Linked DNA regions of Elephas maximus indicus. The protein of the gene in region 2 purifies or fractionates together with the protein of the main gene of each other region. This does not show direct contact. Links are inferred from orthologs where the notes say so. Each region holds a gene or a part of one and is shown on either strand. Other genes may lie near its edges.

Evidence for each region.
Region 1: the proteins of MED21 (region 2) and RPAP2 purify together in Homo sapiens (affinity purification with mass spectrometry; 3 studies listed by BioGRID and IntAct, with this or other methods). This does not show direct contact. The link is inferred for Elephas maximus indicus from reciprocal best matches to the Homo sapiens genes MED21 and RPAP2.
Region 3: the proteins of MED21 (region 2) and MED12L purify together in Homo sapiens (affinity purification with mass spectrometry; 3 studies listed by BioGRID and IntAct, counting the BioPlex papers as one, with this or other methods). This does not show direct contact. The link is inferred for Elephas maximus indicus from reciprocal best matches to the Homo sapiens genes MED21 and MED12L.
Region 4: the proteins of MED21 (region 2) and CDK8 purify together in Homo sapiens (affinity purification with mass spectrometry; 14 studies listed by BioGRID and IntAct, counting the BioPlex papers as one, with this or other methods). This does not show direct contact. The link is inferred for Elephas maximus indicus from reciprocal best matches to the Homo sapiens genes MED21 and CDK8.

Annotation. Positions count from the first base shown.
Region 1 is NC_064821.1:149,946,495-149,953,640, forward strand, and holds the start of RPAP2 (putative RNA polymerase II subunit B1 CTD phosphatase RPAP2), read right to left. Parts: upstream 3,021-7,146; 5' UTR 2,961-3,020; coding exon 2,888-2,960; intron 2,012-2,887; coding exon 1,966-2,011; intron 1-1,965. Other genes in the region: GLMN (glomulin), read left to right, coding at 4,028-4,066, 4,444-4,569.
Region 2 is NC_064822.1:85,864,405-85,872,219, forward strand, and holds the start of MED21 (mediator of RNA polymerase II transcription subunit 21), read left to right. Parts: upstream 1-4,808; 5' UTR 4,809-4,841; coding exon 4,842-4,883; intron 4,884-7,815. UniProt on the Homo sapiens protein: Component of the Mediator complex, a coactivator involved in the regulated transcription of nearly all RNA polymerase II-dependent genes.
Region 3 is NC_064841.1:8,863,677-8,870,726, forward strand, and holds the start of MED12L (mediator of RNA polymerase II transcription subunit 12-like protein), read right to left. Parts: upstream 3,005-7,050; 5' UTR 2,254-3,004; intron 1,419-2,253; 5' UTR 1,278-1,418; coding exon 1,179-1,277; intron 1-1,178. UniProt on the Homo sapiens protein: May be a component of the Mediator complex, a coactivator involved in the regulated transcription of nearly all RNA polymerase II-dependent genes.
Region 4 is NC_064841.1:58,013,645-58,021,628, reverse strand, and holds the start of CDK8 (cyclin-dependent kinase 8), read right to left. Parts: upstream 3,013-7,984; 5' UTR 2,323-3,012; coding exon 2,195-2,322; intron 1-2,194.

The DNA.
Region 1 (7,146 bases), on a different chromosome or scaffold from region 2:
TCTCATTTGTACTTCCAACAAAGATCTGGATTACTCACCTACCAGCTACTATCTGAACAGGATCCTACGTCTCTCTAACCTTTTCCTATACGCCTTTCCTCCCTTGATCAGAATGCTGCACATCACTCTGGCCATCTCCTTTCTTTCTCTGTCTCTCTCTTTTTTTTTTTTTAATCTCTGCAGAACTTTTTTTTTTTTTTACTAAGACCAATAATAAGTAGCACAAAGTGAAAACACTATCCCTTCCAAAAAAATTCACATAAAAATTATGCATAAACCCATTAAAAAAACCAAACCCATTGCCGTCGAATAAATTCTGACTCGTAGTGACCCTACAGGACAGAGTAGAACTGCCCCATAGTTTCCAAGGAGCGCCTGGCGGATTCTAACTACCGGCCTTTTGGTTTGCAGCCATAGCACTTAACCACTACGCCACCAGCGTTTCCTAAATTATGCATAAGATTAGAATAATTCTAAATAAAAACCAATAGATCCACTCCTTCCTCTCTTGAGCCACTTTCGTAGTTTTACATTTCAACTTACAGACTTAATTTCTCTCACTTTTAAGAATGATTGAGAGCCCTGGTGGCACAGTGGTTAAAGTGGTCGACTGCTAATCAAAAGGTAGGCAGTTCAAAGCCACCCTCAGCTCCGAGGGAGAAAGATGTCGCAGTCTGCTTCCGCAGAGATTTACAGTCTTGGAAACGCTATGGGGTGGCTGTAAGTCAGAATCGACTCAATAGCAGTGGGTTTAAGGATGATTACTCAAATATGATTTGTGCCAGACGGGGTAAGTCAGCACAACATTGTCAATGAAAGCTAGGCCCTTGAGAACTAGGCTGGGGGGAACCTTGCAAACTCGCTGGCCCCAACACACATCAGGGTTTGTGTTCAACTCTTTGGTCCTCACAGACTCTCTGCAGGTGAGGAAGGCCTAAACCACATGACAGCAAACAATGTTTCCGCAAACCAAAGGATAACATGTCTCTTTTCTTTGAACTGGCCAACCTCTTTCTTGTTTCAGGGTCTTCACACATATTGTCACCTCTGGCTGTAAGTCATTCGTCACTAGTCTTTGTCTGGTTAACTCCTACTTAGCCTTCAGGTCTCAGTGTAATTATTACTTCTTCAGAGAAGCCTTTCCCTGAACCCCACAGCTACTCTCCCCTCCAGCTCCCAGCTAAAATGTACTCCCATTATTAGTTCTTCCTCATAACATCATAGCCTTTTCCTTTATAACACTTCTCACAATTTGTAAGTATACAATTTATAAGTATACCTTGTGATAATTTAATTGGTGTCTCTCTATTCCACTAAACAAGAACTATGTATGGTAGGTCTACCCTGTTCAACATCATATCCTCAGGGCCTAACACAGATCTGACATATTTTACACTTGGTAGATAATTTTTGAATGAATGAATAAATTAAGACTAAAGCCAATACAAGATCAGTGAGCCTTCATAAAGTGAGAAATTCTAGATATATATTTTAATCCTCTTCATAGGCTATGCATATTCTAGAAACCTTCTGAGACAGGTGATAATATTTTGCTTTTTTAGGAGAAGCCAAGAGACAGTACAAGACAACTTTTTGATGAAAATCTGGAATGGATGTAAACAAAGAACAGAAAAGGCTTCTTGGAGTGACAAAATGAGAAGGTTGCACAGTAAGTCTCTGGCATAGCAGTAATGAGTGAGTGTACCTGAAGAGGTGGAAAAGGAGTACCAGGTTAATACAGGCATGTTTATTGTCACAGACTTCTTTCTACAGATACTCATTAGCAGCCTAGAAATCTCTGGTTTGGTTTGAAACAGTCACTGTGAGAATTTATAGTGCTTCCCAGACTTCTACCTTCCCTCTCACAGTAACTTTCTCTAAGGTAGTACCCATTACGGTTTCAAAAAACGGTTCAATTAATATGAGATAGATAAATGAATGCAGTTCTCCAAGAAGTTCTCGTACCTCTTGGAAGCATCTTCTTGTTTGGAGGCACTTGTGTGTTTGGTACCTACGATTAAAAAAAAAAAAAAAAAGTAGGTCAAGTCTGCACAAAGACATTAGGCACAGGACAGATTCCTGTCCAAATAACTCAAACCGCAGGCCATCTTTTCCACACATTTCATTTCTAATCCTGTACGTAAACCAAAATCAAATGGGAAGAGAATCCAACTTACTTTTGTAAATTAATTATTCCCTAATTTTTCTTGGTTAAAATGTTATCTCTTTTGATTTCTCATGTATCAGAGTTGCAGGAGTCCTGGTGGGACAACCGTTAAGCGCTTGGCTGTTAACCTTGACAGTTCGAACCCACCCAGCCTCTCCATGGGTGAATTTGCTTCCGTAAAGATTACAGCCAAGAATACCCTATGGAGGCAGTTCTATTTTGTCAAAAGGGGCGGAAATCGACTTGAGGGCACCCAACAACATCAGAACAGCTTACTTACGCCCTTCTGAAAATCTGAGTTTTGGAGCAACCTTTTCCTGTCTCCTTCCTGTTGGCCCTCTGGCGGGGGAAAAGGGTCGGGATTGACACCTCAGAGAATCAGGGCACCACAGCAGCCGCACTTCTGTAGCACACTGGGCCGGGGTCCGAAGTCTGCTGCGCACGGCTTGCCGTCGCTGCCCTGGGCACTTGCCCACCTCTGAGGCTGGGGTCAAACCACGACGGGAAAAATCTTGGCACACTCCTGTAAAAGGGTCGGAGTCTGCCCGGGAGATCTTGCCCAGAAGGTGCAAAGGCGAGGGTGGGGAGCTCTACGGTCTCCCCATAGGAGACCCTCTCCCCTGGGTCAGTCTTCCGGGAGCTCCCCGCGCGCCTTGGTGTGGAACTCTGCCGGAGCTCAGGTATTAGGGCCCAAACGTGGCAAAAGACCCTTGTTCCTACCTGCGGCCTTACGGGAGGCGCCGGGAGCCCGGGCCTTGCGGCCGGGAGACAGCTGCCCGGCCCAGTCAGCCATGGAAATGCGTCGTCAGAGCGGAGAGCGGGCGTCGGCGTCTCTCCCCGAGGCCCCGCCTCTCTCACGTAGGCGGGGCGGGGCCGGGGGAGTAGGCTGCGCGGCCTGCGGAGTGGAGGAGGGGACTGAGAGCGGCCGGAGGCTGGGCGGGTGAGTGGACGCGCGGGGGGAGCCCGGGTCGCTGGGCCCGCGGGTGGGTAGTGAGGGCGTAGGGCCCGGCGCCGCGGGCAGACCGGGCCCGCCAGGTGATGGGGGCCGAACGCCAAGGACAGCAGGAATCGGGAGAAATGGCTTCCCTTGGATGCCACCAGCACGCGCGCAGCGGTTTAATCCGCCCTCCAGCGCGCCGCTGTGAGGACCCCGCAGACCCGCGCCGGTAGTGCAGGGCTGGGGCCGGGCCTTCCGGCTGGGAAAAACGATGGTCGATGAGACCGGTTCTTCCGGGGACCGCCGGTGGCCTGGTCTCCAAGTAATAAAGTGATTACAGTGACCAAATTGATTATCTTGGCGACTGCAACTCTTAGAGAGCAATGTCACCGCCAACCCTTGGGCTGGAGGGCATCTGAAGTTTCACCCCATTTGAATGAGTTAAATGTGTTGCTCTCAAATTTTTGTCAGGTGGGACATTAAAAAAAAAAATTCCTAAATGATTATAACTTGGATTTCAGGCCCATCTTTTGGGAATTTTTTCAAAAAAGACAATTTCACTTTATTTAAAAAATCCTTTATAGAGTTCATATTTGCCCTATCTCTTAAGAGTGCTCTAGAGGAGTTTTTTTCCTCTTTCAAAATAATACTCCTAGAAAACTTAAAAATACAACAGAAAGAAAAGCAACATCTTTTAAAAAAATTTTTTTTTAATTTTCTTAAAGCTAACACATTAACTTTCAGTAATAACATTTTTAGCTTTGAAACGTTCCATTTTTTAAATTGTGTGTGCTAATATTATTTTTTTTTTTAATAATGCAACAGAATAGAACAGCTTCCGAATACTGCAGTGTAATGCCACTGTTAACAGTGTGTTTTGTGTTAGTACGTTTCAGCATCAAAACTAGGGGAAAAAACTAGAAATGGCTGTGGAGGAGCTTCAGTCCATAATAAAAAGATGTGTAAGTAATTTTTTCTTTTTAATTACATTTGAGGTCACTCATTGTTTATTTTCTGTAATTCTTGCTTTTATTGACCTGTGAATAAATAGCATGAGGGCTGGAAGGCAAATTGAATTATGTCTCCAAGTGACATACTTATCTAAATAATCTTAATTTTAATGCTGATCCTTTTCATAGATTTCTTTGGTAAAGTAGATTTCGAGATCATTCATTGGGAATATTTACTGGGATCATCCTGATTTTCGTGCATATACTTAATGTGCAACCCATCTGGAATTCAAACAGGTTTCTCTTTTTTCACAGAGATAAAATAAATCAAGTAGTTATTGTATTGAGTTTTTATTTCTGTATGTGTTTTTTTTTTTTTTTTTTGCCAGCAAATCCTAGAAGAACAGGACTTTAAAGAAGAAGATTTTGGCCTATTTCAGTTAGCAGGGCAAAGGTGCATAGATGAAGGGCATATAGACCAGCTATTAGAAATTATCCAGAATGAAAAGAATAAGGTAAGTACTATTTTTGTGTGTACTTTTCATTTTTACTGGGAAGAGAAAACCACATGATGATATTATCTATTTATTTATTTATTTATCAAATGTGTAAGTATCAACTAAGAGCAAAGTATAGTAGAAACTATGGAAGACAAAAAAGGAATTAGGCATATTCATATGTTTTAAGGTCCTTGCAGTCTGGTAGAAGAGGTAAATACTAAACTACTAGCAATAAAGAGGCAGAATAAATGAAATAAGTGCTATAGTAGAAGTAGAAGTAAAACTCTTCAGTAGGAACGAGGATTGCTTGTGGTCTAGAGGAACTAAGAATGGCATTTAAATCATGAATTTACGTAATACAAGTCTCACGCAGGTTAGACACCCATTTTTGGTGACCAGCAAATTATCTTGATTGAGCCAAATGTGTGTGGAAAACCAGATTTTAAGCAAAGCAATATTTTGTATACGTGCATAGAATCTGAAGGAGCCCTGGTGGCGCAGTGGTGAGGGCTTAGCTGTTAACCAACCAGCTGCTCTGCGGGAGAAAGATGTGACAGCCTGCTTCTGTAAAGATGACAGCCTTGGAAACTACGGAGTAGTTCTACTCTGTCCTATAGAGTCAGCGTGAGTCAGAATCGACTCAACAGCAACGAGTTTGATGTAGAATATCATCCAGCTGTGATAGTCTGAGAAATCATTCTTTACAGTGGAAATGGGTCTTGTTTGTGGATCAGGGACAATTGATGTAGAATATCATCCAGCTGTGATAGTCTGAGAAATCATTCTTTACAGTGGAAATGGGTCTCGTTTGTGGATCAGGGACGACTTTTTCCTGGGACACAGTGTTAGAGACACACTGCCAAATTTGTGTCTTTGTACTCCCCTTCTTATGAGTACAAGGCCCCTGAGGAGTGCAAATGGATTGTGCTTGACTCCTAACCTAAAGGTTGGCAGTTTGAACCCATCCAATGGTACCATGGAAGAAAGGCCTGGTGATTTGCTTCTGTAAAGAAATTGCAGCCAAGAAAACTCTGTAGAATAGTTCTGTTCTGTAACACGTGGGGTCACCCTGATAGGACTCAACTCAGTGACAGTGGGTTTGGGATTTTTTTGTTGTTGTTCATATGAATACAGGGAAGACCATCTTCTTCCTAGGAACATGCTCTTTCTTTCATTTATAATACTGTTTATTTATACAAAAGTTTTCTTTTTTGATACCCCAATCTAGTCGTGCTAACCTGTGATTATATCCAAGGCATCTTAATTGGATTTGGGGACCTCATAAAGCTTTGTAATCGCATATTGTTGTAGAATCTCTTATTCAGCAGTTCAGAGGGCAGCCCTTGCTTTTTTCTTTTTTAGCAAAAATAGGATATTTTATTTAATATATTTGCTTTTGATCTGTGTTTATGGCACCTTTGTAACCCCAAATAAAGTAAATTTTGTGGTTTTTACCCTTCTTGGTTTTATTTCTTGAGTATTTACTATATGTCAAATGTCTTTTTAAGTGCTTTGCATCTGTTAACCCATTAGCCTCTCCAGAATCTAAATTCGCTTTGTAGATGAGGAAACGAAATCACTGTGCAGCCTGGTTTCAGAGCTCTTAGCCACTTTGTTCTACTCCAGTTAGCAGCATGTAAGCACTTGCATGAATGTTTTGAGTAGAATAGAGGGGACTGATTGATTGTGAGGGTGAGAGAGGGTAAGGTGTCAAAGACAGCTGAGGTTCTCCCCTCTGAGAGAATAATACATGATACTCTGAACAGAAAAAGGCAACTCAAGGAGAACATTTTCTGAAAGAAGATAAAGTGATCTCACTTTTGGAAATGTTGAATTTAAAATGCAGCAGGAGCTTGGAAAGTAAGGTTTGGAGCTCAGTAGAGAAATAAGAGATTTAGATGTAGTAGATTTGCGAGTAACTATTAGAGATTAGTGGTTGGTGTGCATATTTGATTAATAGTTGTTACACACCAACCACTAAGGCCAAAGACGAAGAAATTGAAGATTTTTACCAACTTCTGCGGTCTGAAATTAATCAAACATGCAATCAGGATGCACTGTAATTACTGGTGACTAAAAGAAAGTTGTAAACAAAGAAGGATCAGTAGTTGGGAAATATGGCCTTGGTGATAGAAATGATGCCAGAGATCGCATGATGGAATTTTGCAAGACCAATGACTTCATTGCAAATACCTTTTTTCACTGACATACATAAATAGCACCTATACGCATGGACCTCGCCAGGTGGAATACACAGGAATCAAATGGGCTACATCTGTGGAAAGAGACGATGGAAAAGCTAAATATCATCAGTCAGAACATGGCCAAGGGCCAACTGTGGAACAGACTATCAGTTGCTCATCATGCAAGTTCAAGCTGAAACTGAAGAAACTTAGAACAAGTCGACAAAAGCCAAAGTATGACCTTGAATATATCACCCCTGAAATTAGAGACCATCTCAAGAATAGATTTGATGTGTTGAACACTAATGACCAAAGACCAGACAAGTTGTGGAATGATGTCATGGACATCATACATGAAGAAAGCAAGTGGTCATTAAAAAGACAGGAGAGAAAGAAAAGACCTAAATGG
Region 2 (7,815 bases):
GTCATTTGTGGCACATACTGGGGGAGACAGGGCAGGGGTGGGGGGCGGTGCAGGACATGTTTCAGGAGACAGTACCTGTGCTACTCGGGGATGTAATGCTCAGTGCATGGTGCAGATAGGCAGGAGAGAGGGGAGAGGATGTGATGTGTGGAGCTAAGTGGGTGTGGGAAAGAAGAGAAAGAGGAGAAAGACAAGCCAAAAAAAAATGCTAAGGGAGCCTGCCGTTGGAGTGGCACAGACCCAGGGAAGCTGTGTGCCATTGGCTTCGTAGCCAGGCAATGTGGCACAGCCCATCAAGAAGGGACAGATATGGCACAGACAGCTAGGTGGGCAGGAGAAAGGAAAGGAAGGAAGGGAGAGAGAGATAAGAAACTAGATTTTAAAAAAGAGAGAGAGAAAGGCACACATGGCCAGGTGGTCAGGAGAAAGGAAAGGAATGATGATAGAGAGAGACAAGAAACCAAGAGAAAAAAAGAAAACATCAGGTGGTTGGGAGGAAGAAGAAGGAAGGTAGAGAGAGACAAGAAACTGAGAAAAAAAAAAGCCCCAAGGGAGTCCACCAGAAGTGGGTCCCCAGCTGAGCAGCACTGCACAGCCCATCAAGAAGGAGCAGAGATGGCACACAGTACCAGGTGTTCAGGAGAAGGGTAAGGGAGGTAGAGAGAGACAAGAAACCAAGAAGAGAAAAAAGAAAGAAAGAAACACCCCAAGGGAGCCCACTGATGTGGTGGTGCACACCAGGAAAGGGGATCTCTAGCCAAGAGGCACTGAACAGCTCATCAAGAAGGAGCAGAAATGGCACACGGCACCAGATGTCTAGGAGAATGGAAAAAAAGGGAGGTAGAAAGAGACAAGGAACCAAGAAAAGAAAAAAAATGCCCCAAGGGAGCCCTCTAGTTTGTTGGCATGGACCAGGGAAGGGGTTCCTTGTCCAAGTGGTGTTGCACAGCCCATTTAGAAGGAGCAGAAATGGCACAAAAGCCATGTGTTCTGGAGAAAGGAAAGGAAAGGAGAGAGAGAAAAAAATGCAAAAGAAGCCCCCAAAACCAAGAACAGCAACAAAAAAATGGCACTGAAAGAGCTGGCTGGTGTGGGCAGGGCAAGTACAAGCAGCAAGAAGCCGGCATCTCCCCAGCCAAGCAACTGCAGCCTGCCAGGAAGCAGCAGAGGTAGAGCAGAGGGAAGAAGGGAGGGGAGTGGGAAAGCATGTATTGCTGGGTACCAGGTGCTCTGTCTCCTGCTGGGAGCTTCTCGTGCCTTCCAGTACTCCCTGTCTGCCATTCTTCGTAGTTCAGGGGTCCAAGATGGCAAATTTGCGCCACGTTAGCGATAGGGGACCTCCACTGTGTAGCTCTCGTCACTCTTTGTTCTCTGCCAGTTTCTTATTTCATTCAGGGCATGGTTCAGCTCTTTATTCCTTCACTTGATGCTTAGGGTTCTGGGATTGATGTTTGTCTCTGTTTTACTTAGTTTTTCAGGTCTTTGCTGTGTAGGGACAGCATGGTGCTTCTGTCTTTAGCACCATGGTGGCTCCCTGGATGTTGAAATGTTGTTTTTGATAATGACTGCAACGCTATTCCTCTTCAAGTTCCCAGCATAGTAGGCTATATGACTGTCCTATTCAAAACGTCCAATATTAGTCCATTTCAGTTCGCTAATGCCTATAATATCAATGTTTACGTGCTCCATTTCATTTGTGATGATTTTCAAATTTCCTAGATTATACTTCATACATTCCAGGTTCCAACTATTAACAGATGTTTGCAGCTGTTTCTTCTCATTTTGAGTCATGCCACATCAGCAAATGAAGGTCCCAAAAGCTTGACTCCATCCATGTCATTAAGGTTGACTCTACTTTGAAGAGGCAGTTCCCTACTTGTATTTTGAGTGCCTTCCAACCTGAGGGTTCATCTTCTAGCACTATATCAGACAATGTTCTGCTGCTATTCATAAGGCTTTCACTGGCTAATTCTTTTCAGAAGTAGACTGCTGGGGCCTCCTTCCTGTCTTAGTCTGGAAGTTCAGCTGAAACCTGTCCGCGATGGGTGACCCTGCTGGTGGCATAGCTCCCAGCATCATAGCAACATGCAAGTCCCCACAGTACAACAAATTGACAGATGTGTGGGGTGAGGGGGAGCACACATAGCATAAGCTTAAAAAACACCAAAACCCATTGTTGTAAAGTCGATTCTGACTCATAGCAACCCTACAGTCCACTGCCAAAAGACTGGCAGTAGGTACAGTCCCATTTAAGCCCCTCATCCATGGCACAAAGTGGGGTGTGCAAGGAAGAGTTGTCATTTCTGCCCAGACAGCTTTTGAGGTGTGATTGTTCGTGATTGAACTTTTCCTGTTGTATGCTGTCTGATTCTTGTAAGGAATAATAGCCACTTTTTATGTGCTAGTGTGTGTTCAAGCTCTGATCGAAAGGATGTAATGTTTATGAAGCAATCTGTATTAGTTATTGGTGCCCTTTTCCTAATGGCCTCCTGGCTACCTAGAAATTGAGTGCAACCTGTGAGCGCTACACAAATGTGGAGCATTGTCATACAGTTATGGTGTGTTTGAGCAGGACATGTTGTCCTACAACAGGACAGAAGCTGTATCATAATATAGTTTTTTTTTTAATAATTTTTTTTTGAGTTTTTGGTCAAAGTTTATGCAGCAAGTTAGGTTTCCATTTGATAATTTCCACACATTGTTCAGTGACATTAGTTACATTTACTACAATATATCTAAAGAGAACATGCTCTAATTGTCTTCTGTTTATACATTTCTGGTACTCTGTATTTTGTGTGCCACTCTGCTATTTTGCTAAAAGGTGATCTCAGAATAGGCTCAGTTCTAGGTTTAAAGAATGTCTCAGGGCAATAGTCTCAAGGAGCCCTCTGCTGTTTTAGTAGGTCTGACTTTTTTGTTTTAATAAGAATTTGAGTTCTGCTCCATTTTTTCTCCCATTCTATCCAGGACCAAGTATTATAACCCTGATCAGGTCAGTGGTGGTAGCCCAGCACCATCTAGTTCTTCTGGTCTCTAGTTAGATGAGGTTGTGGCTTATGTAGACTTGTTTCCTCTCTGAGCTTTTGGTTGCCTTACTATTCTGCTCCTGGTGAGCAGAGACTGCAGTTATATCTTAGATGGCCACTTGCAGGCTTTTAAGTCCCCAGATGCTACTCACCTCACTAGGGTGCAGATCATGATTTTTGTGAACTCTGTTACACCAATTAACTGAGTTGTTCCATGAGGTTATGGTTCTAAGCCTTCAAAGAATATGGGTTATTCTGAAGTAGCTCCTCTACCCTAGGCACCCGAGTTCTCATCAATGGGGCTGCAAAACTTTCTATTCTCCTTTAGTGGGCTCTCTCATTCATTCACCTATATCCAACCAGTCATCAGTCTATATTAACTTTTCCTTTAAAAATACGTTTTAGCCTTTCTTTCTTCTTTTACGAGGGTCAACATCCTAGTCTAGGCCCAACTCAGCTCACTCTTGGATAAATACAAGACCCTTGTGCTTTTCCAACTAAAATTCAAACCCATTGCCATTGAGTCAATTCTGCCTTATGGTGACCCCATTTGTTAAACTGTTCTATAGGGTTTGTTTGGTTGCAATCTTTATGCAAGCAGATAGCTAGGCCTTTTGTCCACAGTGCCACTGGAGAGGTTCAAGCTGTTAGGTTAGGCATCCAGCACAAACAGTTTGGGCTACCCAGGGACTCCTCCTTCCTACTAGACACTGTGAAACGTCTATTCTCCTCTCCACCAACCCTCCCCTGCTCCTCATCCATTTATTCACTGTCACACAAACAAGAAAAGCTTATTAGTTCCCCGTGCTCACACCATACCTCTTAGCTCCAAATGCTTTCTTCCTCCTTCTCACCTTGCCAGCAGTGACTTGCCTTCGCACACTCTTCTAACAGAGTAAATACAGTACTTAATTGTTTTGGACACTTTCCATTTCACCTGTGTCAGCCTCCCAAGCACATCTATACACAATTAAAGCTCCCTAACAGCATGCACCCAATTTCCACTTTGGTAACCCCCTCCATGGCCAAAAGCAAGAGAGGAGGCACCCTAAACCAGTCCTTCCTGATTGCCTAGTGAATTTTAATTTGGATTTGTTGAGTTTAGAATCATATCCTATCTCCCAAAAAAACCCCATGGAGCGGTTCTACTCTGTACCACAAGGGGCTGCCATGGGTCGGAGTACACTCAACTGCAATGGTTTTATTATTATTGACCCCCAAGTATTCTTGAGAAACACTGGTAGCGTAGTGGTTAAGAGCTACGGCTGCTAACCAAAAGGTTGGCAGCTCCAATCCACCAGGCGCTCCTTGGAAACCGTATGGGGCAGTTGTACTCTGTCCTATAGTGTCGCTATGAGTCAGAATCAACTCCACGGCAACGGGTTAAGTATTCTTGAGTTTCTTGCAGCGTATATGCTTTGTGGTCCATTTGGAAAGCAAAGACAACATAAAAATAAGCATTCAAGGTGATGTTAAAAAATGAATACATGGGGGAAAAATCACTAAAAAACCGCAGAATCCAACAATCTCTGTAAAGTGTTTAACACCTACGACGTACTTAATACGAGAACGATTGAACCCTGGACTGTCTCCGAGTTACTCAAAATATTTCCAGTCAGACTCTCCCTCCAGTACCAGCCAGACTAAACAGTCATTAGCTAAGTCTCAGATCCTCCTCCTCTTCCTCGTCCCGCAAATTCTTCCCGATCCCACCCCTTCCAAGAACGCAGCCATGTGATTGGCCACGACGAGTCCTCGAGCAGCCCAATCGCGCACGAGCAGCTGCTTAAGCGTCCCTTTGCGTGAGGGACAAACATGGCGGACCGGCTAACGCAGCTTCAGGACGCCGTGAACTCGGTGAGGAATTTCATTCGATTAGTCTCTGTCTCTTTTTTGGGGTAAACCAAGAGAAGACAGGGGTCCTGAAAGACAAAGCGCGGAAGCAGAGAGCGGACTGAGTTAGGTCTGAGCAGAAAGCGCTCGGGGCGGTGGGAAGCCCCGTCGGGAACCCTGGGAGGTCTGAGGCCGCCCGTCGGGCAGTGCGGAGAGATGCGAGAGCCTTTCTTTTGCTGGAGATTAAGGAGAAGTGGACGCTCTCTCCTTTCTCCTGCACTGCAGCCTGAGTCTTAGGTTTCACAGTCCTGTCATGTTCTCGTTGAGAAGATTTTTATTTTCTTGTTAGTGGTGGTTATCGGCTGTCTTCTTTTGGGGGTGGGGAAGGGGAGAAGCAGAATTTTGTTCGTTTTGTACTGATCAGTTCTAACCACTCGAGGCGAGCCCCCACGGTTGATGATTGGATCTTTAATTAAAAGTTAGCCGAAAGGATTTCTGCAGTAACTTTTAGGTTGGAGTCGGGGAAGGGGGCGTGACAGGGGTTGGGAGTGATGGTGAAGTCGTTTGTGTTTTTTCTAGTTCTTTTCTAAACGCCAAAGGTCTTGTTCTATCTCTTGTCCACTCCTCATCATAGATTAAAAAAAAAAAATAGGTAGTTAATCGAACGGGGGGGTGAGAAGATGGAGCCAGTATGAACGTTCAGCATTGTATTTTAAGTGAAGGCTGGGTGCATTACCAATTTAAAAAAAAGAAAATGAGATGTACGTATGAACTTCAAGGTATTTTTCACAGCTATAAATATAGAGTTACACATATCACAGTAGCGATATGTAATGAACCTTTGAGGTCTATTTAAGATTCACCTGTTTGAAGGTTTTTCATAAATAAAATAGGAACGCTTGGAAAAGGAAAAATCAGTCATAAATAACCCTTCTGGAGTAGAAGAAGGCCATTGGCCCATTGCCAATGACGAATGCATCTTTTGATGGTGAAATAACATTCTTGCAGAAAAGTGTGGGTGTAAAGTTTAATGAACAGTTACAAAGTGAACACCTGTGAAACATTAATGAGGTGAAGAAATACATCATTACCAACATCCCAGAAATGCTTTCTCCCTCTCTTGATCTCAGTACTACCCTGACTTTTGTGATAATCTACTTGCTTTTCTTTGTTGTTTTATCATTTATGCGTGCATGCCTAAATAACAGTTTAATTTTTTTTTGAATTGTATATATATATAAATGTATTCTTTTGTGATTGGCTTCTTTCACCCAACATTTTGTGTGCGTAATAATGTGGCATTCATTTTCATAGCTTTAAAGTATTTCATTTTATTAACATGCTGTAATTGCCACTGCTTTTTTTTTTTTTTTTTTAATATTTTGTTGTGTTTCAGTGAAGGTTTACACAGCAGTTTCAGGTTCCCATTCAACAATTTCTACACCGATTGTTCAGTGACATTGGTTACTTTTTTCACAATGCGTGAGCATTCTCATTATTTCCATTCTGGTTGTTCCATTTTTGTTACAATTTTTTTTTTTTAATTTTATTTTGCTTTAGGTGGAAGTTTACAGCTCAAGTTCATTTCTCATTCAAAAATTTATACACATATTGTTTTGTGTCATTGGTTGGAATCCCACAATGTGACAGCACACTCCCCTTTTCCACCTCGGGTTCCCTGTGTCCATCCCTTCAGTTCCTGTCCCTTTCTGCCTTTTCTTCTTGCTTTTGGGCAGGGGTTGCCCATTTGGTCTCGAATATTTGATTGAACTAAGGAGCACGTTCCTCGTGTATGTTATTGTTTGTTTTATAGGCCTATCTAATCTTTGTCTGAAAAGTGGGCTTTGGGAATGGTTTCAGTTCTGAGCAGAGTATCTGGGAGCCATAGTCTTGGGGGTTCCTCCAGTTCTGTCAAACCAGTAACTCTGGACTTTTTTATGCATTTCAATTATATTTTAATTTTTTCTCCCATTCTGTTTGGGACTCTCAGTTGTGATCCCTGTCAGGGTGGTCAGTGGTGGTAACCGGGCACTGTCTAGTTCTTCTGGGCTCAGACTGTTGGAGCTCTGGGTCATGTGGTCCTTTAGTCCTTTGGGCTAATATTTTCCTTTGTCTTTGGTTTTCACGAAATGGGACCAACAGATGTATCTCAGATGGCTGCTCGCAAAATTTTAAGACCCCTGATGCTACCCACCAAAGTGATGTAGGGCATTTTCTTTATGAATTATGTTTTGCAAATTGGCCAAGATGTCCCCTGAGACTGTGGTCCCCAACCCCAGCAACTTGGTCCCTCAAGGTGTTTGGATGTGTCTAGGAAACTTCTGTGCCTTTGCTTTGGTCATGTTGTGCTGACTTCCTCTATATTGTATGTTGTCCTTCCCTTCAACAAAGTTGACACTTGTCTACTATCTAGTTTATGATTCCATGCCCCCCCCCCCACCGCCTTCTTGAGCATTTGGATTGTGTCTAGTTTATAGAAATTAGGAACAATGCTCCTGTGAATGTTGATGCCTAGATGTCTCCTGGTACACAAGTGTGCACGGCAAGCAGTTAAGTTTCTTTTACTCCATATCTTTATCAACATTTGGTATTGTCAGTGTTCTTCATTTTAGTCTTTCTGATGGATGCATAAAAGTACCTTGTGTTTTAAATTTGCGTTTCCTTGATGACTAAGGTCGCTGTGAGTACCTTTTCCTGGGATTACTGGCCACTGGAGGAGCTCCTCTTTCTTCAAGTGCCTTTCAAATCTTTTGCCCATTTTTCTTAGTCTGTTATGGCCTGTTTATGATGTTTTTATAAATAGAAATTATTAATATGAATGTAGTAAAATTTATCAGTATTTTTCTTTGTTGGTTAGGCTTTTTTGTGTCTTAAGAAATTCTTTGTTACCCCAACATCATGAATGTATTTTCTTATAGCATTATCTAAAAAATATCTTTTGTCTTTTATGCTTAGA
Region 3 (7,050 bases), on a different chromosome or scaffold from region 2:
TTTTTCCAGACACATTCACAAAACTGTTTAACCAGAACAAGCATTTTTCCTCTATTACTGAAACAGATTTATCAAGAGGGAAGTTATAAGTCTCCCTCCTTCCTTTACGTACAACGCCCTTTCTGTGATGTCAGTGGCCCCATAAACTTTTAATAGAGAGTTTTAGATTCCCGGAAAGATAAGTTTTTGAAATGTGGTCAGTTTGTGTTTAGGTAAAAAAAGCAGAGAAGGAGGTGGGCTGCAGCTGGCAAACTCTCAAAGTAAACTAGGTAGCAGGTGATCTAAAGAAGAAAAAACAAAAACAAAAACCGGCAAGTCCCTGGGCAAATTGTGTAGCCAAGGGTAATCATTATAACTGAAGAGTAGTTACATAATTACTTGTGAACTCCTGACAAACACACACACGGCTACAAAACGCCATGGTTACCCTAACCATTGAAGCTAGTGATATCTGGTGCAAAAGTCAAGGTTTCTCCAATTAATTTCATTCAAAGAAATAAGGAATCCTGGGACCTAGTCCCTTCCAAGGTAACCCGCCTGCTCTTACATATACAAAACAGGCTCCAGCCTCTAGGGACGAAAATCAGTGTTTCTCTTCAATATTGATTTTTTTTTTTTTTTTAAGGGAAGAGGAGATACAAAAGTACGTTCAGAGAGCTAAATATTTATCACCTCGATAAAAGCGACTTCCATTCCAAACTGGGAATTCTGAGGCAGGAAAACCCCCTCCCCCAGCCCCTCCTCCCCCACTTTCCTGCTCAGCTGGCGCAAAACGCAAGACCTCGGGGTCGGATGAACTGCATTCCAACATTTTTCAAAAAGTTTACGAGGATTTACCGAAGCAGCGGGGGGGAAAATAAGCAGGCAGAAGCGAGAGAGCGAACAGGAGGGTTCCGGCCAGGAAAAACCCCGAGAAGCGCCCAGCAGAGCCGTGCGAGGCCCGGTAGCGGGGGAGCGACCCGGCCCCGGGAGACAGAGCGCCCCAGTGGAACCAGCGGGCTGACTGGCGCACGGTCTCCGCCGCCGGGGTCCCCCAGCCCCCCAGCCCGGCCTCCGCCACCAGCCCCCTCCCCGTGCCCTCCCCCGTAGCCCCGGCGATGCCCGCTGAGCCCACTTGGCCCCGGGTCAGCGCTGCGGAGCGCGGCCCTGGGTGCCGGCGAGGCCGCCGGCGTCCTCACCTCCTTCTGCTTGGGGTCCTGCGGGTAGACGTCGGGCGGCCCGAGCCGGGGGCGCTTCAGCGGTCTCTGCTCATAGCTGAGAAGCCCGAAGGCGGCCATGATCTCTCATGTTAACCGGCGAAATGAATGAGAGTTGGAGCTGGAGCAGCCGCCTCTGAGCACCAGGGAGCAGCACTTTGCAGACAGGCTCCCTGGCTCCCCCTCCTCGCCCGCTCGCTCGCTCGCTCGCTGGCTGTGGCGCTGCGGGCAGGAATAAAGCAGGTTGGATGCAGCCGCTGCCCGACACGCAGACGCGCACTGATGGGGGCAGCCTCGGCGGGCACCGGCGGCGCTCAGCTCCGGGGCGCACGGCTCCGGCGGCCGCAGGACTGGAGGTCGGCCCGGAGCTGCGCGGCGCCCGCCTCCCGCCCCCCCACCCTGTCCCCAGGGGGAGGAGCAGCTGATGGGAACGTGTGACTTTTTTCACCAATGGACCCGAACCCACCCTAGCCGGGCGCCGGGCTGGAGTGGGGGAGGGGCACGGGAGGAAAAAAAAAACTTTTCTGGACGCCGAGGCGGGTGGTCAAGTGCTCGCCCGAGGCGAGAGTGACTCTCCCCTCCCGGGAGGAGGCTGCGGCCCGCCCCCGCCCCTCTCCCTCCGCAGGGACCCTTCCCCCGCCGCAGACCCCCGCCTCCTGGGCGCCGACCCGGCCGGTGCGGGGAAAGAAGACCTGGAGTGGGTGGGGGAGAGAGGGATGCGGGCGGCGGGGACGCGGCCGGTGCCTCCTGGACGCCCGCCGGGCTCCGCTGGCGCATCCGCGGCTCGGGTGCCCCTCGGCAGCTCCGGGCAGGCGCCGAGGCGCGCTGCTGGCGGTCGCGGCGGCAGCGACGGCTGGAGGGGGCCGTGCTCACGGTGGCGCGGGGCCGACTTAACCCTTTGCTGCCCCTCCAGGGGCTGGAGGGCTGGGGAGGGGCGGCTGTAAGCGCGGGCGGGGGCGGCCGGCCCGCGGGCGTCTCGGGCTCCTCCAGCCCGCGCCCTCCCCCGGCCGCAGCGCCCCCCAACAGTTCACCTCCCTCCCCCCGGCCAACAGTTTACCTGTTGGTCACCAGCTAGCGGGCAGGGCCGGCCGCGGGGGCGCTCCGGCAGCCGCAGCCTCCAGGATTCGGGCTGGGGTTGGGGATGTGGATTGGATTGGCTCCGTCAGGGCTCCGTCTCGTCGGGGCGAGCTCCGGGGACGCGGCGAAGTTTGCCCGTGTTTGGGGGCGGCGGGCGACGCCGGCTCGCCGCCGCCGGCGTTCTGGCCCCCAAGGCCCGGGAGCGCGAGCTTCCTAGTTGGCGGACGGCGGCGCGGCGGCCGCACTGAGCATGCCCAGGTGGGCGGCCGGACCGCGGAGGAGTTGGCTGCGAGCGCGGGGAGCGCGCTCCGATCCGCCTCTCCGGGTTTTCGCAGCCGCAGAGCGCGCAGCCCGCGGGCCCCGGAGCCGGCCCTGGGGCGAACCTGGGCGGGGGAAGGGAGCCCCTAGCACCCCCTTCCCGGCCGCGGTCTGCGCCCTCGGCCGCGACCTCTCTAAAGGTCGCCGTCCCTGTGGCCTGGGCCGGAAACCTCACCTGCGCCGCGCGCCTGGAGGGAGGGACGGCTGATCCTCCAGGGAAGACCTTGGTCATCCAACCCGCCCGCGCTCCCCGCTCACTTCCAGGCGTGGGCACCGAGATGCTGGGCCACCTGCCGTGGGCGCGGCGGGGGCGGGCCCGGCCTGTCCCGGGGGACCCTGCGGGAGACGCGCCCCGGAGGATGCGCCCGCACTTGGTCCAGAAGAATGATGGCTGCCATTTATGGAGCCCTCGCTCGGGGCCGTGATCTTCACAGTCAGGGTCTCTGATCCTTACAACAACCTTACAAGGTTTTACTGTACCTTTTCCGTAGAGGGAGAAATTGAGTCAGCTCGGGGAGGTCAAGTGACTTGCTCAAAGTTCCCTCCTCTGTAAAAATGGTGCAGGCATAATCTAACTGAGGCCTTTGTACAGAGCTCAGCTCATAGTTGGTGCTCTGGAAATGTTGGTTGAATCTGAATATCTGACTTTTAGCAAAGAGGAAGGAAAAGTGGGGTAAGTGAAGAGACAGCGATGTGGTGACAGCTAGTTCCTCCTGACCCATGACACTTCCCAACCCGCACCTGAAGCCTTTGTAGTTTCTGAGTTCCTAACAATCTGATCAAGGGTTTCCAGAGGCAGGATTATCCTCTGCCAAGAGCTGTTCCCTGACCTCTTCCCCACCCTGCCCCAGGGGCTTCTGCTCCACTAATACCATCTCTCTTTCTAGCTCTCTTCAGACAATCAACAGTTTATTATGTAACTTTATTAGGAAAAATCATACCAAAGAGTCGAAGGAGGAGTATAATGGACCCCCAAGTACACATCACCCAGCTGCAACAATTATCAAAGCTTTGCTATTCTTATTTCATCTGTCTCCTCCATCTCCAACACATTGATATACAGTAGTAAGGACAGTTTTATTCTTTGTTGCAACTCAAGCACACAGCATGGAACCTGCCACGTGATGGGCGCTCAAAAAAAAAAAAATGTTGGTTGGTGGGATAAATGATGGATGGGTGGGTGAATGGATGGTTGATTCTTTCACTAATGGTATTTTGGTGACACCCTGGGCTGCAACTCAAACACCCCTAGCCTGTAGGGAGATGGAAGCTGAATTCTTCCTTAAGATTTCTAGGCAAGAGCCTCCACCAGGCTGCACAAATGAAACACTTTGGACTCCCTTAAAACCTTATCTACCTGTAAGAATTTATTTTAAAATCAAAATGTCAGTAGTGTGTCCCTGGTATTTGGAAAGAAGGACAGGGATAGCTGTCTCCCTCTTAGTCTCCATTCTTAGCTCTGTCCCTTGTCTTAAGATAGTTTGACATGGATTCTGTGGCCCTCTCAGCATAAAGAGCGAGAGCTCTTTATCATTCCCAGGGACCATCTTCAGTCTCAAAATAGAAGGCTTCATGGGGCTCCCAAAGCGAAATTAGCACTCGTGTTATAAAATGCTCAGACTCAGGCTTCAGGCACACCTGTGCATAAATTTACCCCGCATCCTGGAGAGGTTTCCAAATATCTGGCTACTGACTCACTTGCTCTAACTTGGAGCTCTGGCGACATAGTGGTTAAGAGCTTGGCTGCTAACCAAAAGGTCGGCAGTTGAAATCCACCAGCCGCTGCTTGGAAACCTTACGGGCAGTTCTACTGTGTCATATAGGGTCGCTATGAGTCTGAACCGACTCAAGGGCACCTAACAACGACTCACTTGCCCTTTGCATCTCTGGCCATGTCACAGGCCCCATTCAAATATGCTGTTTGAGAACCTAAGTCTTAGTTACAGCAAGTTTTTCCAGGGTCCTCTTCCCCTTCTTGGTCTTAATCCACCAACACATCTACACCTGTTTATTTTTTAAGAACGCATAAAGCCTGTGCTTACTATGGTACACAGCCTCATCCCCAAAAGAACTGAGAAATCGGCAGGAAATGCACACAATACAATGAGATAAGTGAATAAATGGTTGGAATACTTGCATTTAAAGTCCTCTTCTTCCCCAGGCACCGTCACCTGCTACCGTCTCACCTTCTAAGACCCTGGTGGCTCTGGCACCCTTGCCACACCCACAGGCTCTGTAGCCATGAGCCAGAAGCCGAGAAGAAAGTGTTTGCACTAGAAGAGTCTTCTGCTTAATGCCCTGACACATGTGGCATTAAAACAGAAGAGGGAAAGTGGGTTTCTGTCAAAGAAACAGGCGGGTGGATCAAGCTATCTATTGAAAGTCCCCCTCACAGTTGACTCTGTGTTCACCAGAAGCTTTGAAGGAAAAGGTCTTGGAAGCTTTGCCCCTCGTCCTGCCAAGCCAGTCTTGATCTCGTGACTTGAAGAGGGATTTATGGGTCAGGACATCTTGTAACCCAGTACCCCTTTTATCATCCTGTCTGCTGTGGTGGTGTCTCATTCAGGGATAGGAGGCCTAAGGCACCATCTGACAGATTCTGAGTCCATGCCATTATCCTAAGTCATTTGTGTCACAGCAATCATGAAGGCTATTTTTGAAGGTGCCTTATTCACTGAACCCCCTTATTTCCCAAGAGATTCTGTGGGCATCAGTCCCAGCAGCTATAGGGACAAGGTAGAGACATGCAGGAGGTAGTGGTATCCTCAGAGCCAGCTCTAATATAAGCTGAGACATTTCCTCCAAAATCATTCTTTCACTACATGGATTTCCCATGGGCATTTGGCTCCCGCACCCGGGCATTTGAGGTCATCACAATCCATCCCCACCTACTAGTCCAGCTTTTTCTCCTTCACCCTTAGCCCAGTTCACCCTCCCTCCTATCCTGTTAGTTCTCGCTTGTAGTACCAAATATGGGATTCCCGGGTGCTCCATTTTCAAATATCTACCTTGTGATAGTCCTCAGAATCTTGACCCCTCTTTGAAACTACCCCAAGCTCCCCAGGCCCAAGGTGATTTTTCAGTCCTTTCAGTACTCTAAGCACTTAATTTTCTTTCTCATCTCTTAACACCTCATCATTCATTGACAAACATTTAAATGTGTCACACAAGGATAGTCTTGGTTTCCCATCCCCACCTCACCCTCTTACTCCTCTCTCTTTTCAGTCCATAATTAGTCTTTAAGCTAATTTAGGCCAGCTTAACATGGTGGACTTAACATGAAGACCACCGTGTTCTATGCTGTGCTTGATTTTCCCATCATGGTGCTGGTTAGTCCAGCAGATAGGCACAAAACCTTGCTGAATAAAAGGGAGTCCCATTTGCTACTGTTCTATAAGAAGCATCATGTTTCTACCTTGGCTAAAGACCCACTGGGCCGGGAGAAGTCTACGTGGAACAGGAATTACTCAAGGAAGGCCAGAGGATCCCCAGAGAGGAGGTCTCAGGCTGGTCCACAGCCTAGCGAGAAGAGAGGAGTTCAGGGAACTGAGAAAGTTTCTTATAACTGGCAAGGGAAAAGGATCGAAATGTAGCTAAAGAATGAAGTATAAACCGTGATTAAGCGTTATTCTCCAAGTATGAAGCTGACCCTCCAGGGCTGCTTTGTATGTTGACAGGTGTTTAAAAGCTGGCCCCTTTTCTTGAGTCACATCCGAGGGCTCCACAAAGACACCTCAGCACCAAACCCTCCCCAGTTGCTATATCTCCCTCCACAGGCCGGTTTTCAGCATTCTGTAAGGAGACGCTCACAGTTGGGTCCCATCGTGTGCTGGTATTCATTTGCTCTTTATATTTAATCTGCAGGAAATAGACAGGTAACCTTTGCCTACACATGCTTTAATGCAAGGCATTCCCTGACCAACCTTCTCTCCTTGCCCATCGTGAAAGCATCCTGCAAGCCACCGTTCTTCACTTTGAAAGTTCTCCAGTCTGGATCAGAGACCAATCCCTTGGGTTCACCCAAATAAACACAGAGGATAAACATCAAGCTCCCGGGTCAGTGGGCCTCTCAAAGCTTAACTTATGTAGCTTAAGGCAAGGGAGAAAATTCCTTTGGCAAAAGGCAGAGACACGATCAGATTTGCAGAGCAGAGAATGCCTAGGAGTAGAGGCAGGGCAGATACATGTCAGGGGTTATAGTCCTATTGTACCCATTTTACAGATTTTCAAATGAGGCTCAGAGGGGAAGTAACCAGCCCAAAACCATTGAGTTAACAAGTAGCAAAGCTAGGATCAAACCTAGATCCCTCAGACTCCAAGCCTGCTCTCGTTATTGCTGTCCTTGCTGTCCGTGCGGTACGTGTGTTAATTATACTTTACATAAATCATGCAAAGACGAGCCTCAGAAGACAGGTCTGGTATAAGAGAAACAAAACTTCTGACAGCTTACTCCTGCATA
Region 4 (7,984 bases), on a different chromosome or scaffold from region 2:
GTCATCCATTAAAAGAAAAGTTCATCATACAAACAAAATCATTAAAGTTGCTAAAAACATGCCCAAAGGACTGCGAATGAAAAATTAATTTTTCCAAAACACAAGCTACTTTCTGGCTATCAGAAATGACAAAGAAATGTTTATACACTATACATTGAGCTATGTTTAAATTGTGTACCCAGTGAAAACCCAGTGCCGTCAAGTCAATTCCGACTCATGGCAACCCTATAGGACAGAGTAGGACTGCCCATAGAGTTTCCAAGGAGCGCCTGGTGGATTCGAACTGCCAACCCTTTGGTTAGCAGCCGTAGCACTTAACCACTACACCACCAGGGTTTCCATTGTGTAATTCTCCTCAAATTATTAAAACCTAAATTAAACTCTGATCATGAGATATAAAATGTGCTTAAAAGTACCTCAATACTAGTTTTTCAATAAAATATAAAATCAAAGTTAATACAAATATGCATATTTATTACCATAAATTGGTAATTTATGAAAACAAAACTGGCTTCTTTCAGAGAGCTTAAAAATAATTAAAGGTCATCAGAATTTTATCAAGCAGATGACAGACTGGTCAAATGTACTACAATGCCTAATCTCATGGGATTAGGGATTTTATGAATATGCTTAAAATTACATAATACTGGGGGATGAAGAGATGGTTTAAAGCTTTTGAAAAATATTATATGGGAAGCATAATTTAAAAATATATGTCATTACAGAGTAGTACCTTACTGAGAAATCTAATTAGACAACAAGACACAGCAGTATCTCCAGAAGCTGATTTCTCAAATGTCACCAGACCATCCATTCCCCTAAAAAGTACTTTTAAATACATGTGGCACCTGGAGTATCAAGTTTTCAAATTCCTACCTTTAACAGAGATAGCTGTACTGCTTTACTGCTGCATAAAGGCACTGAAATACACATTTCAAATTAATTAGTATTACCATTTTCTTCCTAGGGTCCGTCTTAAATTATTTTAGAAAGGTAACTAAGTAAATCTTAAAAAAAAAAAAAAGCTGAACATACATTTCCTTTCTAATATTCAGAATACTAAAGTATGTACAAATATGGCCTTTTCCCCCTATCCAAGGTAACTTATTTCAGCTTTATGAATGGTTACTCTTTTTTTTCTTTTTTGGTGCTAAATAGTTCTGAACATACCCTACTAATTTGAAATAAAAAAAAGCAATTATTTTAAATGGTAAATAGCAGCTAACCAAACTAACAGTAAAGCTACTTTTGCTTCTAATAAAATCCAAAGCTTTGATTTTATCTTCCCGTAAATTTCTATCATGTTAAAGGCAACAGAAACGACATCCATTTTTGCAAAAGGAAAGCAAAGAGTTAATCCAGTATATTTTCTCCCCAACCTAAATACTGTCTTCTCTTTTGTCAATATTACAAGACATTCATCTACTGACAAAGGAAAAATGAACACTTCACTTGCCCGTTTTAAAACTAAATAGAAACATTACCAGTCATAGATTTAATTACTTCTAGAGAAGAATGTCTAAAGCAAAGGGACTGCTTAAAGTTCAATGCCAGCTGCTAAATTTTGGGCGAACAGCCTTAACACCATACCCCCTATTTGTCACTTGCCTTTCCCCACCACCCACCCTGCACCAAACCCCCATTGTTCCGTGTACAAACTCAGTTAATGATACCCAAAGAGGGATTCCTACATTCATGGAGCACATGATCACTATGAGGAGCTCCTGACAGCCACATTCACTTGCTGCCTTTTCTGCCCTCAATAAAATCTAAATGTGGTAATAAATCCATTATGAAACCGATGAGGGAAAGGACCACTGCGTTCCTTCCAGAGTGACGGATGTCACTCTAGAGGCGGGTGAGGAAATCCTCAGAAGGTTATCATAATAAACCGACCCCCCCCCCCAAAAATCATTTCAACTGACGTTTCATAACGAATACTAAAAAAAAAAAAAAAAACCCGCACTGATGCCCCTGAAAAGTACACAGCCCACGGACGACGGCTGTTCTTCCCGGTCAGCCCCTGCCACCCAGAGGAGCACGCAGGGTCTCTGGCGGCCGCAGATCCCTCGCACAGCACTTCCTCCCGACCTGGCTGGAGCAGACGACGCGGGGTCGAGGAAGTGGGAGCCGGCACCGGCGGCCGCCCTCGCGCTCCTCGCCTCGGCCTGGGGCGACACGCACACACACTCACCCGTCTTTCCTCTTGGCTTTGTAGACGTGACCATAAGTGCCTCGGCCAACTTTGCAGCCCTCGTATTCAAACAGGTCCTCGACCCGCTCCCGCTCGCTGCTCAGCTTCACTTTAAAGTCATAGTCCATTGTCACAGCCTCGGAGGCCGGGGAGCGGGGCCGGGGGGCCGGGTGGCAGCGGTGGGGAACGGGGAGGCACGGGCAGCCGCAGCCCCCGGGAGCCCACCCGCTCTACACCTGGCAGCGGCAGCACCGGCCCGACGGATGCCGCAGGAGCAGCAGGAGGCCCCGCGACAGCCCCGGGGACATCCAGGGGGACAGCGGGGCAAGGTGGGGACGGGGAGGCCTCCCCGCCGGAGGAGAGCGGAGGGACGAGGCTGGGGGAGGGGTGGGGAGCGGTGTCGCTGCCCTCGTCCCCGCGGCTCCCCGGGCGCCGGTCTCCCTCTTCTCCGGCTGCGGAGGGAGCGCGGGGCTGCCGCGGCGGGCGCTCCTCTCCTCCTGGCACACACGCACTCACTCTTCGCACCCGCTCGCACACGCACACGCACACTCACTCACTCACTCACTCTCCATACACTCACACAGAAAAGCGGCGGCCGTACAACAGCCGGTACCTCCTCAGAGAGAAGAGGAGGGAGGGGACTTGCGGAACACGGCCCGGTTGTCGCAAAAACGTCGCGAAGGCTCAGGCTGCCTCGAGCCCTCCCACCACCCGCTCCAGCTGCGGCCCGCCGCCCCTCCCGGCGCCCGACGCCCGGTGACAGGGGGAGAGAGCGAGGGAGCAACTGGCCGGAGCGGCGGCCAAGCACAGCACGTGGGCCGTCCTGAGCGCTGGCCTGAGCCCCAGACTACAATGCCCAGAACGCACGGCGCCACCGTCACCGCCCCTTCCAGGACCCCGCCCCACGCAGGGGCAATGTGAGGGCGTGGTGAATGATGGGATCGGTAGTTCGTGGTGAGAGAAGTTTTAATTCATGTTGTTGGGTGCTGTCCAGTGGTTCCCGAGTCCTAGCGACCGCATGTGACAGGGTAGAATTGTCCCATAGGGTTTTCTAGACTGTAATCTTTATGGAAGCAGATCGCCAGATCTTTCTCCCGCAGAACAGCTGTGTGGGTTTGAACCACCAAACTTTGAGTTAGTAGCCAAGCACTTAAACAGTGCACCACCAGGGCTCCTTTTCAGTTATTTAGGGAACGCTTTTTATTATGTTTTATTATTTTTTACGGCGCACTTTTTATTTTTTAAATATCCTTAGAGTCTAATTTGGGCTATAAACTTGGCCAAGGAAGTTCACGTGTCAGGGAGGCTAGTTTGTATTAGAATCACATTTTGTGCTACTTGACGGTCACTCTCCCGTAAGGTCTGCACAGTACTATTCGCATAAGTGACACATGTTACAGACTTCGAGGAAAGTCAATCAGTGAGGAGTGTGATGCGACACCCAAATACTGTTACTCTTGCGGTAGTTGCCCATGCGAATGGTTCCGGTCTATTCAGAAGGAAGGTTACGTTGAGTATGGCCTTCGTGTAGAACCACCGATGTTTTAGCCATAAGATTACAGTCATGGAGCTAAATCAATGGAAACTAATTTGTTGATAATGTTTAGGTAGAAAAGGTGTCTCCTGGAGGAGCCCTAATATCTTGACAATAATCCCTCAAATTGCCTTATCCCTCTCATTTGCACATTCTTTTTTTGTTTGTTTGCTTCCATTTGTTACCATTTCCACTAATGCTCACCACTGTCCAAACGATATGATCACTCCCACTTTTAAACCCCCATAACACTTTATTTTTTCCACCTGTCCTGTGGTACTCATCAAATTCTGTTTTGTCTTGTATTCCCTCTCCCTTGCTAGATTATAAATTCTTGTAGAGGGTCATATTTTTCTCTTCCATAACACCTAGCATCATACCTTGACTATGGTGCACTGTAAACATTTGTTGACTTAATGAGTGAATGAACATGTTTATGTCAAAAATATCTGTGTACAGATGATGATGATGCAATTTTGTGAAAATCCTCAAAGGAACCCTTGTCTTATATAAATTTCCTCAGAGGAAATCATGACCTCACCATTGGTTTAAGTTGTTTTTACTTTAGCCATTAAACATAATTTAGTGTTTAAGTACCCTGACTCAGGTTAGATGACTCTGAGTTTGAATCCTGCTTGCCATTGATTAGCAGTGTATCCTTGGACTAACTCTGAGCCTCAGTTTGTGTCTTTGCAAAATGGAGATATAAAAGGCCCAACTTAGAATAAATGCACAGCAAATGTAAGCTTCCGTTAATGAGATATTACATGCATTTGATCGGTAATGTAATTTGGGTGACTCTCTAGCAGGACTGTGCCTTTGCATGGAGAATTAATTCTTTTCCCTAAGTATGAATTTAGACTAGACTCTTCCTGAAAATTTATTTTGTGTTTTTTGAGGGATGTGTCTTTTTGTCCAAGTATTCACTCATAGATTTTGAGAAACCAACCCACCACATTGGAGGAAAGGTGGTGCAGAGGCATGGCAGTGGGCTTGGCCCCATACTTGGGTGCCCCACCCCCATCCCACCACCTACACATGATATTCCTGAGCACTGAAGATCCCAGACTTTTAAAATGTACTTTTGAGTACTATTTTGTACCTATCCATCCTGTGGATGAAGGTAAGAATTCTCCCTGAAGTAACTGAGTGTTCTGATTATCAGTTCTCTGAGACAGGAACGGAAGCTGGCCTTGCACTAGGGAAGAGAACCAACCGATTGCTGTGGAGTCGATTCTGACTCATGGTGACCCCATGTGTGTTAGAGTTGAACTGTGTTCCATAGGGCTTTCAGTGGCTGATTTTTCAGAAGTAGATTGCTAGGCCTTTGGTTTCTGAGGCACCTGAGGTTGGACTCAAACGGCCAACCTTTCAGTTAGAAGCCAAGTGCGCTAACCATTCACATCACCCAGGGAAAAGAGAAGGGCCCGCTATTCTCTCTGAAGCTAGGGTGAGAGTTAGGAGTCTGGACTTCAGGGTGGGAGAATATGGTGACATGAGGTAAGCCGGCCCCTTAAGGCAGCATCAGGATGCGGAGCTAAGGAAGATTGCCACTAGGGGGCCCCTTACAGGGGAGCAGGGCCAATGTGTTAGAAGTGGTAACAGCTCATATTGGTTTTTTTTTTTTTTTTTCTTCATGGTAATTCCCTTCTGTTATACCCAAGCTATCAGCCTGGTCTTTGCTGTGGGGCTTGTGTCTGTACTTGGAGGAGAAGGGGCAGCAACAGCCTGCAGAGCCAAAGCAATGAGCCAGGAAGGACTAATGGAATGTGTAAGCATTCCAGATACTGGAAGAGTGGAATCTGGTTTTAGCATGCACTTCCTGTAGTTCAAGGGATGGAAGTTCAGACTTTATTGTTATTTGAATGAATTGAACATATCAGGAACATGGAGCTGTGATTTCAGTTTGATTTCCTAACTCTGATCATACTGAGTTCACATGTCCATTTGCTCCATGATGACCTCCACTGATGTTGTAGAATCTATGGCTTCGTTGGCCTACACTCCAAACAATGGCCTAATAATTTTCGTGCTTCTTTTCTTAAAATATGATTTTATTTACATTCCAAATTGAACATCTCCAGTGTTATCATGCCTCCCAAGCACCAGCCCCACAGTTCAGTTGCCTCCCATACAGCCTAAGGGGAAATTCTGCTGTCATCTCAAACTTAAAATTTCTGCAAGTGAACATACTATACTATTCCCTGAATCTCTCAGTTCCTGTGATTAGCAGTACCAGTAGACAGTCATTCTGCTGTTTGCCAAACCCATGAGCCCAGGCCTTCATTACCTAACATTGTCCTTAATATTCAAGCCAGATATGCCTTTGTCTGTCCTATTCTCCAAGGTTGGAATGCCCTTCCTCATATCGTCTCAGACCTTTGCAGTCCACCAGGGAACAGCTCAAATGCTTAACTTTTATCATGAAGACTTTCCTGATCCCTGCAACTAGATGTGATCTTTCTTTCCCATGAACCGCTCCCCCAGTTCCAGCCCCATCACACTTTATTTGTAACTTATCTAGAAGCATCACAATTATCTTATACTTCAGTTATTTATTTTATGCACTTAAAAAAAATCTTTCAACTCAGTCAATTGATGTAATATAGTTCACAAAGTTCATGTTCTTTATCCTAGTGAAGTGAGTAGCATCTGGGGTCTTAAAAGCTTGCAAGCGGCCATCTAAGATACAACTATTGGTCTCTACTCATCCAGAGCAAAAGGGAAAGAGGGAAATAGAGACTCAGAGAAGAAATAAGACTACAAGGCTAATAGTCAACATGAGCCGTGGCCTCACCTACCCTGAGACCAGAAGATCTAGATGGTGCCCAGCTACCACCACTGACCATTCTGACCAGGGTCACAAAATAATTATCTCTTACAGTGCCCAGCACATATCTTGCATAATTATAATTAATAAGAAGGTGTTTAATTTAATTGATTTCTCTAAAGGTTGAAATGAATCTTAAGATTAATAATAAATGGTGTAGGCAGTCATTTTAAAACATTTAACATCTTACCTCAGTCTTGCCTCTCAAGGTAAACCTTCTGCAGCATGCAAAAGAGCTTGCTGCTCAGTGATTAGATGAAAAAAGAAAAAAAAACAGACTTACTGCTTTATGATATATTAATGTAAAAGGGCATTCTTGACAACACACAATACAGGAGAGGTTAGCACAACTGCAAAGCAGTTAGCACAAAAGCAAAGAAATTTCCTGAGTAAACTGAATGCTTTGAAGGTCAGCATAGCAGTGGCGGGGGTTTGGGGACCACGGTTTCAGAGGACACCTAAGCCAATTGGGATAATAAAATCTATTAAGAAAACATTCTGCATCTCACTTTGGAGAGTGGCATCTGGGGTCTTAAATGCTAGCAAGTGGCCATCTAAGATGCATCAACTGGTCTCAACCCACTTGGAGCAAAGGAGAAAGAAGAACACCAAAATACAAGGTAATTGTGAGCCCAAGAGACAGAAAGGGCCACATAAACCAGAGACTACATCAGCCTGAGACCAGAAGAACTAGATGGTGCCCAGCTACAACCAATGACTGCCCTGACAGGGAACACAACAGAGAACCCCTGAGGGAGCAGGAGAGCAGCAGGATGCAGACCTCAAATTTTTGTAAAAAGACTATACTTAACGCTCTGACTGAGACTAGAAGGACCCCAGAGGTCATGGTCCCCAGACCTTCTGTTAGCCCAAGACAGAGACCATTCCCAAAGCCAACTCTTCAGACAGGGATTGGACTGGACTGTGGGATGGAAAATGATACTAGTGGGCAGCGAGCATCTTGGATCAAGTAGACATATTGAGACTATTTGGGCAGCTCCTGTCTGGATGGGAGATGAGAGGGCAGAGGGGGTCAGAAGCTGACCAAATGGACACGAAAATAGAGAGTGGAAAGAGTGTGCTGTCTCATTAGGGGGAGAGCAACTAGGAGTATATATCAAGGTGTATATAAATTTTTGTATGAGAGACTGACTTGATTTGTAAACTTTCACTTTAAGCACACTAAAAATTAAAAAAAAGGGGGGGGAGGGGCCTCTACAACTTTTAATTCACTTCTCTTGCTCTGTATCCAAAGCGTACTTTAAATGGAAAGCATCTAACTTCCCATTCTGCAGGTGGAATTTTCATGAGAAAGCATATAGTAAGAATCTACATTTGAGCAGTGTTAGATACAAAAAAAAGTAAATTAGATTAATCAAAGCCCTCTAGCATTTTTTTAATTTTTCAAAGACAACATCAAAAAATT